3 linked regions of the Drosophila melanogaster genome follow. The protein of the gene in region 3 interacts with the protein of the main gene of each other region in a biochemical or structural test. Each region holds a gene or a part of one and is shown on either strand. Other genes may lie near its edges. The genes, in order: ru, rho-4 and grk.

The links.
Region 1: of the proteins of grk (region 3) and ru, one has a biochemical effect on the other in vitro, tested with the Drosophila melanogaster proteins (one study listed by BioGRID).
Region 2: of the proteins of grk (region 3) and rho-4, one has a biochemical effect on the other in vitro, tested with the Drosophila melanogaster proteins (one study listed by BioGRID).

The regions. Positions count from the first base shown.
Region 1 is NT_037436.4:1,368,498-1,373,120, forward strand, and holds the start of ru (roughoid), read left to right. Parts: upstream 1-2,130; 5' UTR 2,131-2,383; intron 2,384-4,623.
Region 2 is NC_004354.4:11,597,891-11,602,513, reverse strand, and holds the start of rho-4 (rhomboid-4), read right to left. Parts: upstream 2,677-4,623; 5' UTR 2,428-2,676; coding exon 2,188-2,427; intron 1-2,187.
Region 3 is NT_033779.5:8,431,522-8,436,144, forward strand, and holds the start of grk (gurken), read right to left. Parts: upstream 2,078-4,623; 5' UTR 1,894-2,077; intron 1,752-1,893; 5' UTR 1,562-1,751; coding exon 1,492-1,561; intron 974-1,491; coding exon 356-973; intron 221-355; coding exon 21-220; 3' UTR 1-20. Other genes in the region: D12, read right to left, coding at 2,688-4,623. UniProt on the Drosophila melanogaster protein: Critical for defining the anterior-posterior and dorsal-ventral axes of the egg. May signal directly to dorsal follicle cells through the receptor torpedo (top).

The sequences.
Region 1 (4,623 bases), on a different chromosome or scaffold from region 3:
TCCCTCCACCCAACCGTAATCACATTTTATTGGATTTTATTTTGCGTGCGTTAAATCGCCTAATCGTCTTTGTTTTTTTTTCCTGTACTTTTCGGCTTATCTGTGTTTTGCATAAATCGCTTTTTGCCTTTGCTTTTCGCTGGCTGTTTGAATTTGTTTGATTTTTGTTGTAGCCTCTTTTGTTATTTTTGTGATTTTTTATTTTTGCTTTGCGCAATATTTTCACCTTGTTTTTTGTGTGTATTATTTTTGGCTTTTATGATTTTTTCTTTGTTTTCGTTTCATTTTCTTCATTTTTTTTTGTGCAATTAAACACGTTGAAGAAAATATAAAAAAATAAATGGGCAAGAGTGAAAATGAGCGAGGAAAAAAATATACAAAACACGAAAAAAATGACAGCTTAAAAAATTGTCTTTTTAGCCCATGCAATTTTTATGGGCAAATGTTTATCCTGTGTTTTCTATTTTACGACTGCGCGTAATGGAATTGAATTGAAAGTGTTTTCTTTGGTCGCGCTGGAAAAACATTTGCGGCACAAGATATTAATTATAAGCTTTTTAGTCGTTGCTAGTATTTAGTGCTAACTTTTAAACCAAAGCATTTGGTGCCTTTTTAATTTATTATCGAGCTACCTTCTTCATATTAACTATCTAGTAATGTGGAAGAAACTTTAATCTTAGTTTTAGTTATTTTATAGTAACTAGCTTGCATTTAATTCAAATTGCAAACAGCACCCCTATATTATATTAACAGTTATCCTCTTGGCACCCTTAATTTCATAAAAAAAGGGGGTCCATAGACCCTATTCAACTGCCACCTTATTCATCTTGAAGTCAATTCAAATCCAATCTGCGCGATTCGAGGTGGTATTCGCAGGGCGAGCGAGCGAGATAGCTGCTGTGTGGGAGTGAGAGGGGGCTAGGGCGGTACAAAGGGTCGGGCAGCGCCCTCATCAGCTGTCAGCGGCAGCAGAATGAGGCCCATTTGATGAAGATGTTTCTGCAATTGTTAAGTGTATCTGGGCCCTTTCGATGTTTGCTGTTTGCTATTTGCTATTTGAGCTGGGAAATGGAAGGAGGCCACAACACATCAAAATTATACTCGATATGTTAACAAGTTCAGATACAAAAGAGATGACTGGTCCCAAGAGATGCCAGAGATAGCCCACATAAATAAGTATCTCGTGGCTGGTGGTAGCTCGTATCTCGTGTCTTGTATCTTGTATCTCGTGTCTTGTATCTGATGGATGCACCTATTGACACCCAATAAACAAGGCGAAAACAGCAGCTGCGACCGAAGTGCTTTGATTTATTTATCAGGGGCAAGAAATCAACGTTGGGTGTTTTTTTTATCAAATCTATCTAATTATACATAAACTTTTACTTTTTTACAGTACCAAGATCAGTTTGCAAACGAAAAAACATTGGCCAGATATAATTTGAGGCATAAGCCTCGCTTTTTTTGTTTCCCCCAATTGTTTCACATTTGGTAATGCAATAATTGAGTTAATTAGCCAAAAAGGGAAAACACTGTTTCACAAATGGATTAAGGGGACAAAGATGCTAACTTAATAAGTGACTTGTTAATTATCCGTCGGCGGCTGCATCTGCAACTGTCTCCCTCTCGCTCTCCGTCTCTCCACTTTCTCTGTCGCACCTGCAGCTGCCGGTAAAAGCCAGCTGGCTCCTGGCTATCCCTCTCCCTTTCACTCGTTCGCCCCATCTCACTTCCTCACGTGACTCCTTTGCGTGTACCGTTCACCGGATGGTGGCCAAAAAAAGCAAAAAGCCACGACAAAGGAAAACTTGGCAACGCGTTCGAACCTCGAACATGTTTGCTGCACCTGGCTTTATTGTTCAAAAGGGTGGCTTAAAAGGGGGAGGCGGTTTGCAGGGGGGGGGGGGGGTTTCTTACCTTGGCCAGCAAGAGCCGGCTTTTCGAAAGGGGTGCAAAATGGAAAAAAAGCACACACACACAAACACACGCACAACTAACACAGCGGACTGTGCACATGTAAACCCTCCGGTAAGGAGGCTCTACCCCTTTCGGTTTTTGGCCAGGCCGGCACTTTGCGAATCTATAAAAGTATCGGGCCGCATAAAAAACGAGCTCAGTTGTGAACGGTACTTTGTAACGGCAACCGGCGGCAGCACGCGCAACTAACGGTTCACTGGAAAAGTAGAGAAAAACCACCGAGGAAAAACTTAGTGGAAAAGCACCGAACATTCGTACCGTTCGTAGCATTTACTGCTCGGATCGACTGCCGCAGTAACTTGTCGCTCATCCTCGAAAGAAATAAAAAATAGAAGCTGCAACCAGTTCACATAATCCTGCCCCCCCCGGATGGCCTGCACAAGAGTCAACCATTTCATCACCCCCCTCGGTAAGTCATAACACCCCCCGCCTAGGATTCCCACTCTCAATCCCCCATCTATTCCATATCTCACCCACGGAGATCCCGGCAAAACCCCCCAAAAAAATAAATCCATCGGCTTAAAACTTGGCAAAACTCAGCTCCAAACTCAACCATGCTGAGCTGAACGTATTTGACTAGAGCGAGCACTGCAAAAAATAAAGGTGTACTTCATGGTGCGAAAAATTATCGCACTGAATATATAATATTCTCTTTTACTGCCGTTAATATCCATCCTCTATTTATAACAGAAACCAATCTTATTAGTTAGCCATCGCAGTTTTTGTTTTCAGTGCATGTAAATCTGCATCTGTCAGTGCGGCAGCAGCTTCAGCATCAGTATCTCTGTCTGCTTTGTATCTTTTGGGTTGTAAAAACATCTGTGCTTGTCGTTCGGCATCCGTATTTGCTGCCGTTTGCAACGGGCCAACTGCAATGCTACCAACCACTCCCACCCACCCAGCCAGCCACCAGTCGCACATTGCGTATACGCAACGTGGAGCGCGGATTTAACTAAAAACCGTTTGCGCCCGAGCTGTCAGCAAATGGCAAGCACTTTCCGTTGAAATCTCCCCCGGGTCACCCGGTTTTTATATATATATGTATGTGTGGGCTGCCCTGCTCCATTTTCGATATCTTTTGTGGGATCTCGGACAAGTGCTACTTCTGGCCAACTTCTGGCCAGAACTTCTTGGCCAGCTAGCTACTGGTTGGTTGGCTATTCGATTTCCATTGTCTCTTTTCGAATGGAAACCCATGTGCGTGTAGGCAGGAGTGGCCAACGATCGATGGAGAGGGTCTGTCTGTGCGTGTGGGCGGTCCTCGGAGCTCCCAGTTTGGCCATCCATCTTGCCACCAAACCCACCAAGTTCGTGTGTCTCCAGGGCGAGAAGACGCCACATTTGGCTCACTTTTGTTTACACTTTGATTTATTTACGCAGCCTCGAAAAGTATTTCATTCAATCGCAACGATGCGAATTTTATTCACTTTCCGAAATTTTTCTATTCTCGTGAAACTTTTGCTAAACATAAAAGTGCCAAAGTCTCGAAATCGAAATGGAAATCAAAACCAAGATCCGTTTCAGATGCACAAATCATGGACAAAATGACAGGGGAGTTGGGGCTGCCTTGGGCTTTTGTCACTGGTGAAGTTTTTGTCGAGTGCATGAAAATACGAAAAAATTAATGCGTTGGCTATTCTTGAAAAAATCATACGCAATGCATTTTAATTTTTCGTGTCTCTTGTTCGTTTTTTGTTTGTAAATATATAGTTTTTAAATGTGTCAAGTTTGCTTTTATACGCGTCAGAGTGAGAGAGGCAACGCCGAAAATAAAAACAATATAGCGAAACAAACAAAAAAAAAAAATGAAAAAAAGTCGAAAAAAGACCCAAAGACCTGATTTCAGGGTGGCTTAGTTTTGTTTACCCATTTTCGGGCCACTTTTCTTTTACTAACGTGTGCAGAAGTGAAAAAGTTTTAAAGATATATGGTAAAAAAAAGTTTCCCAAGTCATATTTGTATCAAAGGAAAGCTGTGAATTAAAATTACTATCCAAGTTGTAAGACTTTAATTACCATTTGCTTCCGTTTGCTGAACTAAATTTGGCCAAAACTTCTGACTGCTATTAAATTCAGCAACTGATTTGTGTCGTTCTCCCCCATTTTCCAGCGCAGAAGTCAACAGTTTATAGTGTTTAATCATTCTTAAGCTGTCTCCACCTCCGCACCACCCCTTCACCCCTTCACCCCTTCACCGCTCTTCCCTTTTGGATCACCTTTGACCTTCATTAGTGTCAGACCCTCTCGCATTCGCATTAATCTAGGCAGACATTTCAAGTTGAGCTGTTGCAAGACAATGGCTCAAGCAGTTTTGTAGTTTGTCTTGTCGGCCAAGGTGCACACGCACACACTCCAGATACAGATACAGATACATTGATGGTATCTTTGAGATACTCACTCGCACAAACGCATACAAAATAGAGCTCATAAATCAGTGCAGAAGCGAAATAGTGTGTAAAAAATTGTTGTGCAACTAGGCTTTTCTGAACCAAAAATGTTAACAAATATTTTCAACTTTTAAGCTAATCAATTTAACTTTCAAATAACAAGTATATATGCTGCTAGTTAGTGCTTCAGAAATTGAATAAATTCCGTAAGAAATTGCCGGATTATGCAACCATTCGAAGTTGCACCCCCGCCAGCCCCCACT
Region 2 (4,623 bases), on a different chromosome or scaffold from region 3:
TTATCAAAACCAGGCGATAAGCTGCCAGCGGTAACGGAGTCTCGCGGGGATTGGGACTTAGTCATAGTCGTCAAGTGTGTTCGGAACACACGAAAGCCACTTGGTCAGTTTGTAAAAAATATGGTTTTCGGAAAAAGTTAATTGTAAAACCATTGGAACACCTGAAGTTCCAAAACTTTCCTATATTAGCCAACAGACAACTTAAGATTTACTCTTTTGCACAGCTCAATGAATAAAAATATCAACGAAAATGGTCATCTATCTGCTATTTTCCCATATCAGAAAGACTGTTATCTGTGACATATCAAACATGATATTTCAAAAATATCAAAATGATACAGTCCCCTCCGGGTTCAAGTTGAACTTTCCAACGAATAATGTTGGTTGAGATTGGTGATTTTTTTTTTTTTGACAAAATATGTTCTATAGCTTGCTATTATTTTGGTTGTTATATCATGGCTAGATTATTGAATCAACGCTCGGAAAACCCAAGCAGAGTATTTTGGCCACTTGAATGTTTGTAGCGAGGGAATTCAGATAAGATTTCCAGCCAAAAGAGAATAGGAATGTGTCTGGAATGCCGATTTCCAGCGGCATCGAATGTGTTTGGATTGGATTGGCAGCTCATCTTGTATGCTAATCGTATGGTTAGAATACCTATATACATACATATATACGTATCTGTCCAAATCAACCAGGAGAGAGTGCTAACTAAACTGGAATCGAAGCGGCCAAAACTGATGGATTCGTAGATAGAATCCCCTTGTTGCCGGGGTACATTGAACGCGATATGAACGCTACACACTCTATATGGCTATAAACAAATGGTGAATCAAGAGGACGTTGCACGTTGAGGCAATCGCACTGGTAGAATTAAAAAAGACGAAATCCACAAATTGTTAAATTGATAATGGTAACACTCGGGCAAACAGGTGGGCGGTGGGTGTCAGTTGGGGGTTAAGTGACTAACGCCACCAAGAATAAAGCAAGAGCAACAACAACAACAAAGGCAGAACTCAAAGCGAACAAACAATAATTTATAACCGGTTTTTCTTCTTCTTTTTTTGCTGGTCTTTTTCCCCCAACCCTCTGTCACGATAAGAAAACTCAGTCCCCCAACAGTAGGCAACCACCCTCCCCCCCATTTTTTTTTGCAGCACACACGATTTTTCTACTTTAAGAAAACAAACTGCAGCGAAAAAAAGCTTATAAAATGTGATACGGAATTCTGCGAAAGTGCAAAATTGACTGACAGACAAGCGGTGATGGGTTAAATACACCGAAAAGTGTAATTATGCTTGTATGATATAAGTACATATAGCAGTTGATTATTTAGGCACTATAATCGAATTCTTAACCCATTAATGTTAAACGGGAATCAAATCTCACGTATTTATTAATCACCACAAGATACAAGGTTTTTTTTTAATAATGTATACCTTAAGTTTGTTCCACTGGCATGTTTGCAAACAAAAGCATCTGATCGTGTCGGTTTTCGCCCGCCGGCCCATTGAAGGGTTAAAGGTGGGGTTTTCTTGGGAGAGTGCGAAGAGTGAAGAGCGCCGCCATAGCGGATCGATGCTCAGATGATTCATCGAACTCAACTTTCACCGAGGGTGAGAAGAAGACGGCAACAGGGCCGACCACACAAGCACAAGCAACTTCATTCACACGCACGTATGAGTGTGTGTGTGTGAGTGCCGCGAAGTGCCGGCTGTGTGTTTTAATTACAGTCGTTCTTCTGTTTTTCGCGAATTTCCCATGCATTAATATGGTGCAATTTCACAAGATCTCAGCATTAACCTTCTGTTGCCTACCACCAGCCAGTTTAAATGGGATAATTAGTCGTAGCTGGTTCTAACTAATGAATTAACCACTATGTGCTCTCCAAAATGACTTGAAAACTAATAGAAATTTATTATTCCCTTACCTAAATCCTACATTTCCTGTATTCTATCCGATAATAATGTGGCATAACTATTAAATCAACGTTAAATCATCATAGATTTACTTTAAAGATATAGTGCTAAGTTGTAACACCGTGTGAACAGTAATACCTTTATAGGTATAGTTACCATGGCTACTACTTGGTTAGCTGGCTCTACAAACCAGAAAAGATCTAATACTTAGGAGGAGCTGCCACTTGTGCTGGGGAAGGGAATTGCGAGTATTATAAGTCCTACATACCTTGTCAAATATCTCGTGCATTTTGCGCCGATCCTCTGGCTCCTGGCTGTTCGTCTGATTGAGCGGTATTTCCTCCATATCGATGGTGTCCTGTCGCAGCGTTTGCGGACGCGAGGGGGGCGATCGTCGCTCGGCCGGAATCGTGGGATAGAGCCCATTCTCGACGTCCCGCTGCTGCTGCAATTGCAGTTGTTGGGCGGGCGTTTGGCTCTGCTGGCGATTCACTGTTTTCACGGGCATTTTTGCGGCCACTTCTTGTTTCGCTTTTCGATGGAATGCGACTGTTTGAATATCGAATTCGGAGAGCGGAAGTGCCGTTACCGTTAGCCAAAAAGTGAAATTACGGTGCTCATTGGCCGCGGTTTGATTTGATTTGCGATAAGATTAAGAGCGGGCCATAAAGCGCGTAGCACCTAAAAACAGCGGAGCGAACTAAAAAAAAAAATAACAACACCAACCGTCTTCTCGCACCAAAGAAACCAAACTGCGCGACTGTACAGTGTGACCAGCTGCCGGAGCAGCACAAGTGGCTCTCTACCCAGAATTTGTGCATAAAAATAATCAAATCCCGCATGCAACCCAATCTGGCAACGCTGAAAGGGAGTTAAATTTGAAAAAAAAAGTTAATGAATATTATTTATTTGGTCACTTTTAATAAGTCATTTATTTGAAAGTTTTTCTTTTTTGACTAGTTTTTTTTGTTTAATACTTTTATAACAATCAATTTGTGCTTTAATTTAAAATGCCAACTTGTTTTGTTAATTTAATATATTATATAATATATCCTAGGTAAGCCTATTTAAAAAATAAATCACATATATAACTGTTTCTTTAAGGATATCCGGCTCCTTTTTTTTTACTCCTACTATAGTTGTAAAATCAAAGTATATGCCACATAAATAACAATCACTATACTATATTCGAATTAAAATGCTATTTAATTAGTAATTGTATCAAGTGTCAAGACAGTTAATTTGAGAAAATCGTTTCCATTTATTTCCCGACCAAATGGGCAGGGATTTGACTTCAATTAGATTCTTGAAGCAACCCAGGCGGGATCTGAAAAATGTGGATTAAGGATTAAGGGTTATTGGGTAAAACGCAAATGAACGTATGTCAACTGACCTGTGCACGGCCAAAATAGAGGCGGTCTTTGAACCGATCCCTGGAATCTCCTGCAATTGCTTAACGTTTCCATTGTTAAGATGGCCCAGTAAACATTTAGTATTATTGGCCATCCAGGCCTTGGGCGCAGGTTTCACTTTTCGCGTGCGTTTCTTTTGGACTGCACTTTGAAGGCGCGTCCCGTTTTCCACAACAACGGAGGTGGCATGTTCCCGGATTCCCGCCAGCCGCGTGCTGCGCCGCAAATTCATAACCTTGGGAATGGCTCTATAGTTCTGCGAACGCATCCTACCCGCTAGACGTACGGAACGACGAAGGCATGGCTGCTGTGGCGAAGCCACTACTGTCTCCTCCATTAGCTGGATGCCGCTAAGTTCTCGCTGAGAACTGGATGCCCGCAGACTGATTTTTTTTCTTTAAAAAATATATTCTATAGCTTGATATTATTTTGGTTGTTATATCATGGCTAGATTAATGAATCAACGCTCGGGAAACCCAAACAGAGTATTTTGATGTTTGAAGCGAGGGAAATCGGATAAGATTTCCAGCCAAAAGAGAGTAGGAATGTGTATGGAATGCCGATTTCCAGCGCCTTGTGTTTGGATTGGATTGGCAGCTTATCTCGTATGCTAATCGTATGATCATACATACCTATATACATATATATATATGAATCTGCCCAAATCAACCAGAAGAGAGTGCTAACTAAACTAGAATCGAAGCGGCCGAAACTGATGGATTCGTAGATAGAATCCCCCTGTTGAGTGAGTGCGAAGAGTGAAGATCGCCGCCATAGCGGATCGATGCTCAGATGATTCATTGAACTCAACTTTCACCGAGGGTGAGAAGAAGACGGCAACAGGGCAGACCACCACAAGCACAAGCAACTTCATTCACACGCACGTATGATTGTGTAGGTGTGAGTGCCGCGAAGTGCCGGCTGAGTGTTTGTTTTTCGCCAATTTCCCATGCATTAATATGGTGCATGAATTAACCACTATGTGCTCTCCAAAATGACTTGAAAACTACTAGAAATTTATTATTCCCTTACCTAAATCCTACATTTCCTGTATTCTATCCGATAATAATGTGGCATATTCCGTCCGAAATCGTGGGATAGAGCCCATTCTCGACGTCCCGCTGCTGATGCAATTGCCGTTGCTGGGTGGGCGTTTGGCTCTGCTGGCGATTCACTGTTTTCACGGTCATTTTTACGGCCACTTCTTGTTTCGCTTTTCGATGGAATGCGACTGTTTGAATATCGAATTCGGAGAGCGGAAGTGCCGTTACCGTTAGCCAAAAAGTGAAATT
Region 3 (4,623 bases):
TCCAAATCAAATTCTAAATCTCAGCATCTGACAAAAAAGCGCTGCTTATGCAGGTGTAGTTGCTGCTGCTTCCGGCGATAATCCGGCACATTGCGGAGCATGAAAACGGCTGCGAAGAGAACGTAGAGCGACGACAGCATGAGGAGTACGGGAAAGGAGAAGACGATGTGCGCCATTCGGACCTTCCGCTGCGCTGTTGGAGGCGAATAGATGTAGTCACCTGCAATGATCAATGAGTTCATTTAGTTACCATGTACTGGGTACAGACTAATAGATATCGTTAGTTCCATCCGTTCCATACAACACAGGAAGAGACTTCTGTGAATGGATGGCTATGCTAGAGTAGAGTACCTACCATTCCAGCTCTTGTAGGCGCACCGCTCTCCATCGTAGTCGTTAACGCAGAGGCAGGAATGGAAGACTGTGTTGTTCACCATCGGATGCTGGAAGCAGTGGCCGCCGTTCAGGCAAAAGCTAGTATTGTAAGCTTCGCTGCAGGGCAGCATCTGAATCTCTGTCTCCTTGTCGTTCGGGCTGGGAGTCGTGGAGTCAGGCGTGCTGGACGAACTGGGGTCAGGTGGCGGTTCTCCGGTGTGGGTAACAGTTTCGGGTGTTGTCACTGTCTCGGAATCAGTGATTGGTGTGCTGCTTTCGCTGGCCAACCAGGTGTCGGTACTGGATCCGAGAATTATCCCATCCTGTTCCGGATCCGCAGCAATGGAGTCGTCTGCGTTTGGCAGTTGGCCGCCCGAGTCCGGATTGGGATCCGTATCGGGATGCAGCTGGTCTGCCTCCTCCTGGGCCGAGGCCTCCAGTTGCTTGCGCTGCAGCTCCAGGCGATTGAGCAACTCAACCGCGGTCTCCTGGATCTGCTGCTGCAGCTCGTGCGCATGCTCGTGCATGTGGCTGTGCTGATGCTGCACAATTTTCAGCGTATGCTCTCGGAGAAGTAAGATTCGGCTCGAACAACAATCTGCAGAATACAGAAGAAGGTGTGCGATTAAGAAAACAGGACATTTCCAGTGATCGCAAAGATACAGAATAGATAACGTTGTAAAGCTCAAGTTGAAGTACAAAAAGCTTTCAGTTTTTAGTGCGGCAACTTTTGAAATTATCATAAAAATGTCTCCCTATGGTATTATTATTACTAATTTTTTTAATTTTTAAGAATGCAAAGTTTGTTCATAAGGACAGTATTTAAATGAAACTCAAAAAAATCTTTAGAAATAATTCACAAATATGTATATTATCTGAAGTTTACTTCATTCATCATCCACGAACAGAAAGCTAATACAGGATTTTACACAGTTTTCAAGGAAGTTTTAGTTTTTTAGCATAACAAGTATATAATCAGCACTGCAAATATTTTATGATTTGTTGTAGCTGTTTTCCAGTTTTTTCGACGCTAGAAATAGCTTTTTTTGTGGGAGAGCCTGGCAATACTGGCCGTAATATTGGAATCTAAAAATCAGGTGGAGATTATGTACGTACCTGTGACGGCGACAATTGTTGAGAGCACGAAAATTACTTTGAAAATCCGAGTAAATGGGATTTGCATCATTGGAAAACGCTTGGGGTGGCGCTCCGAAAAATATTGATTGGGTGGACCGATTGTCCACCACTAGGAAAACTGAGTCAATGAAGGGGTCTAAACGATCGAGGGATCGAGCGGCGTGCTGGCCGCAAATGCAATTTGGCGTCGCAACAGAAGCTGAAACATACTACACACTTGCATCTCCTTGTGGATTTTACTGCAAAATAAAAATAGAACATTTTAGCGCCTCCACATTTTCTGTCGCACGAACGCACACACACGAAACAAAAAAAAAAGGAAAAGAAATAGCATTCAAAATTGGTGATCCAAAAGCTTTTCATAGATTATCTTAGACGTACTGGAGCTGCTATATGGCCTGTAGAAGGCTTCGACATTATAATTATTATAATGACTCGTGAATCATTTTATATATCAGGCAAGTAATTAATTAGTTAATCTAAAGAGCAGCAAGCGCGGGAAGCGGGCTCTTCTCTGCTCCACTTTGATTTTAGGTCTTGTTGCGCGCACGTCGGAAAAGAGACTGAGGAAAACAGAGCCAGAGAAACAGATGGACCTCATCCCTACATTGGCGGCATTGGCATGCGCCATGAATGAAATCGATCGGTGAGCGGGGAGAGCGAAGAGAGCGCCCCCAAAAGAGATGCGATTGCGACCGATAATAGTCGAAGAATCATATGGATATGCTAAGAGCTGCAAAAAAAAACCGCCCTTTAACAGTTATTCAATTTGTTAACGGCACTTTTCACTGCATACTTCTAGGGCACTATAAAGATATATTACTCTGTGAAGATAGCTGATAAGACTTAAAAATGTTTACATGTTTCGTACAAATATGCAATTGTAGCGATTATTATTTATATTGATAAAACAATTTAAAAGTCTTCAGCCAGATATTCAAAATTTAAAAATTAATGACCACTCATCTCATGATTTCGTCCAAAATATGATAATCGTTGATAATTAAAAACGCAGTATTCATTTCTTCGGACATTAATTTAGTTAATTTATTGCTTAGATTTATGCTTACCAACGAGTACAAGGCTCTAATTAGATATCAACTAATATCCCAGTAGAATTTGAACTATGACGCGGACTTGATAAAAAATAAATTCAAAACAATGGCAACTGCACATTAGATTTGTGGTTCTATCGGAGCAACTCCCAAGTGACTGTTTCCGAGGAAATCCAATTCGGAACACAGACTGATGACACGGCCTATGTCCTGAGGTTGGAGACACAACGGAGCATTGGCCGCCGCCGGTGGCAACTGTTCCAAAGTCTCCTGTTGCAGTTTCGCCGCCAAGGAGCGGCGCACCAATTTCTCAATAAAAGTGCGCAGCACTTGTCCGAGCATCGAGAGAGCCAGTGGCTGGGAGACGCCAGGCGGAGATTCCTCCGGTTCCAGTGTGATATTAATGTCCTTGCACATTTCCTGGACCAGCTGCAAGGTCGAATCCAAGTGCTTCGGCGGAGGTAGATAAAGTAGTTGGCGATGATTCACCATTTGGAAAGATACATCTGCTGAGTTTGTTAACCTGGACGCAAGCGGATGAGGTTTGTCCACACCCAACACATCGATGAACTCCTTATCCCGCATCTGTTGATCATGACCAAGCAGACGATCGGATTGCTTGGTTATCCAAGCTTCCAGCCGATTGCCTGAGCTGAGACTGCTATAGGCCGACAGTTGCGGTTGGGGCTCGCCCTTTAGTTGCGCCTGAACACGCCGAGCCAGTTGCTCCTCATCGCTCAGTTTTTGTTTTCTCTTTTCATGCACGACAGGTAAAACATCTTTGAGAGCTGGCGTATAACCATGAACCCTGGCGAACGCCACTATCTCCCGTAAACTCCAGTAGTGTTCCTTTCCACTAATGTCCAACTTATGCAGCTCGTGGTGCTGCATCAGACAGCGACGGAGCATACGTGCGCGCAGGTACTCAAAGCAACGTTGTTTTAGAGCAGTGTGATTGTGGAACTCTTCGAGGGTTATACAAGTGAATGGATACTCCTTTTGCTGATCAATCGACGCAAGCGGGAGGCGGCTCAGCAGGAACTCCACAGCACTGCGCATATTTCGGAATTGTGCACTTCTAAAGATGTGCTCCAGCCTTCGGGGTCGCGATTGTATGGTAGTGTCCACAATTGGAGGTAACAGCATTGGCTTTTCCTCCATCTCGCCGCTCATGTTGGCGTACCCATGATCGTGCTGCATGCACTGCAGCATATGCCATCGCGTTTCTGACGGTGGCTTAAGAAGACTCAATTGTGGTTTCAGCAGGGATTGTTGCTTTGCAGCCTGCTTAAGCTTGCGCTGCAAGGGATCGATAATGTACAGCTTTCCTGCTCTCTGAAACACAACATTCTTCTTGCCCTGGTGATGGCCATTGGGCACAGGCTTTATTGGTGGCCGATCCGACGAGGATTCCTTCCACGCTCTCTGCGGAGATGCCGGTGGATAGTGCTTTACTGGCGAAAACTCCTGCCGCTGCCTTTCTGGCAAGGATTCCTGCCTAGGACTTCGGCCGTTTACTGGCAGATAGACCACAGAAGGCTTCGAAGCGGTGACCTGAGCCGCATTTAACCGAAGTTGAGTCCTAGGAGGCGATGACGGAGTGGGTGGCTGCTTTCTTGGACTGTAGTTTAACTTCAGGGGCTCTGAAACCAACACAGTTGGTTCAATTTTCTCAATGTCGTCGCTGAGTTCAATTTTGTTGATACCAGCAAACAGATTGTCATCAAGTTCCTCCTTATTTTGAGTGATTGAAATGGTGCGCGGTTTGCATGACTCTCCAGGAAAGGCGAAAACCGAAGGCTCTAAAACATTCGGAGCAGCCAGAGGTGGAGCAGGAACTGCAGTCTCCTGTTCATGGGGAGGATGAGGTTTGCCGCTTTTCTGTTTCGTTATCGCCTGTTTTGCTCTCAGCCATATTTCCACAGTGGTCTCTGCGCCCATCGTGTGCAGTCCACACATTGTTTTATCCAGCACCACCGTGTGCATTAGTTGCACGGGTTTCTGCTGCAAGTGCTCTTGGAAAAATAGCTGGATGCGCATCGGAAACTCGCCCCAA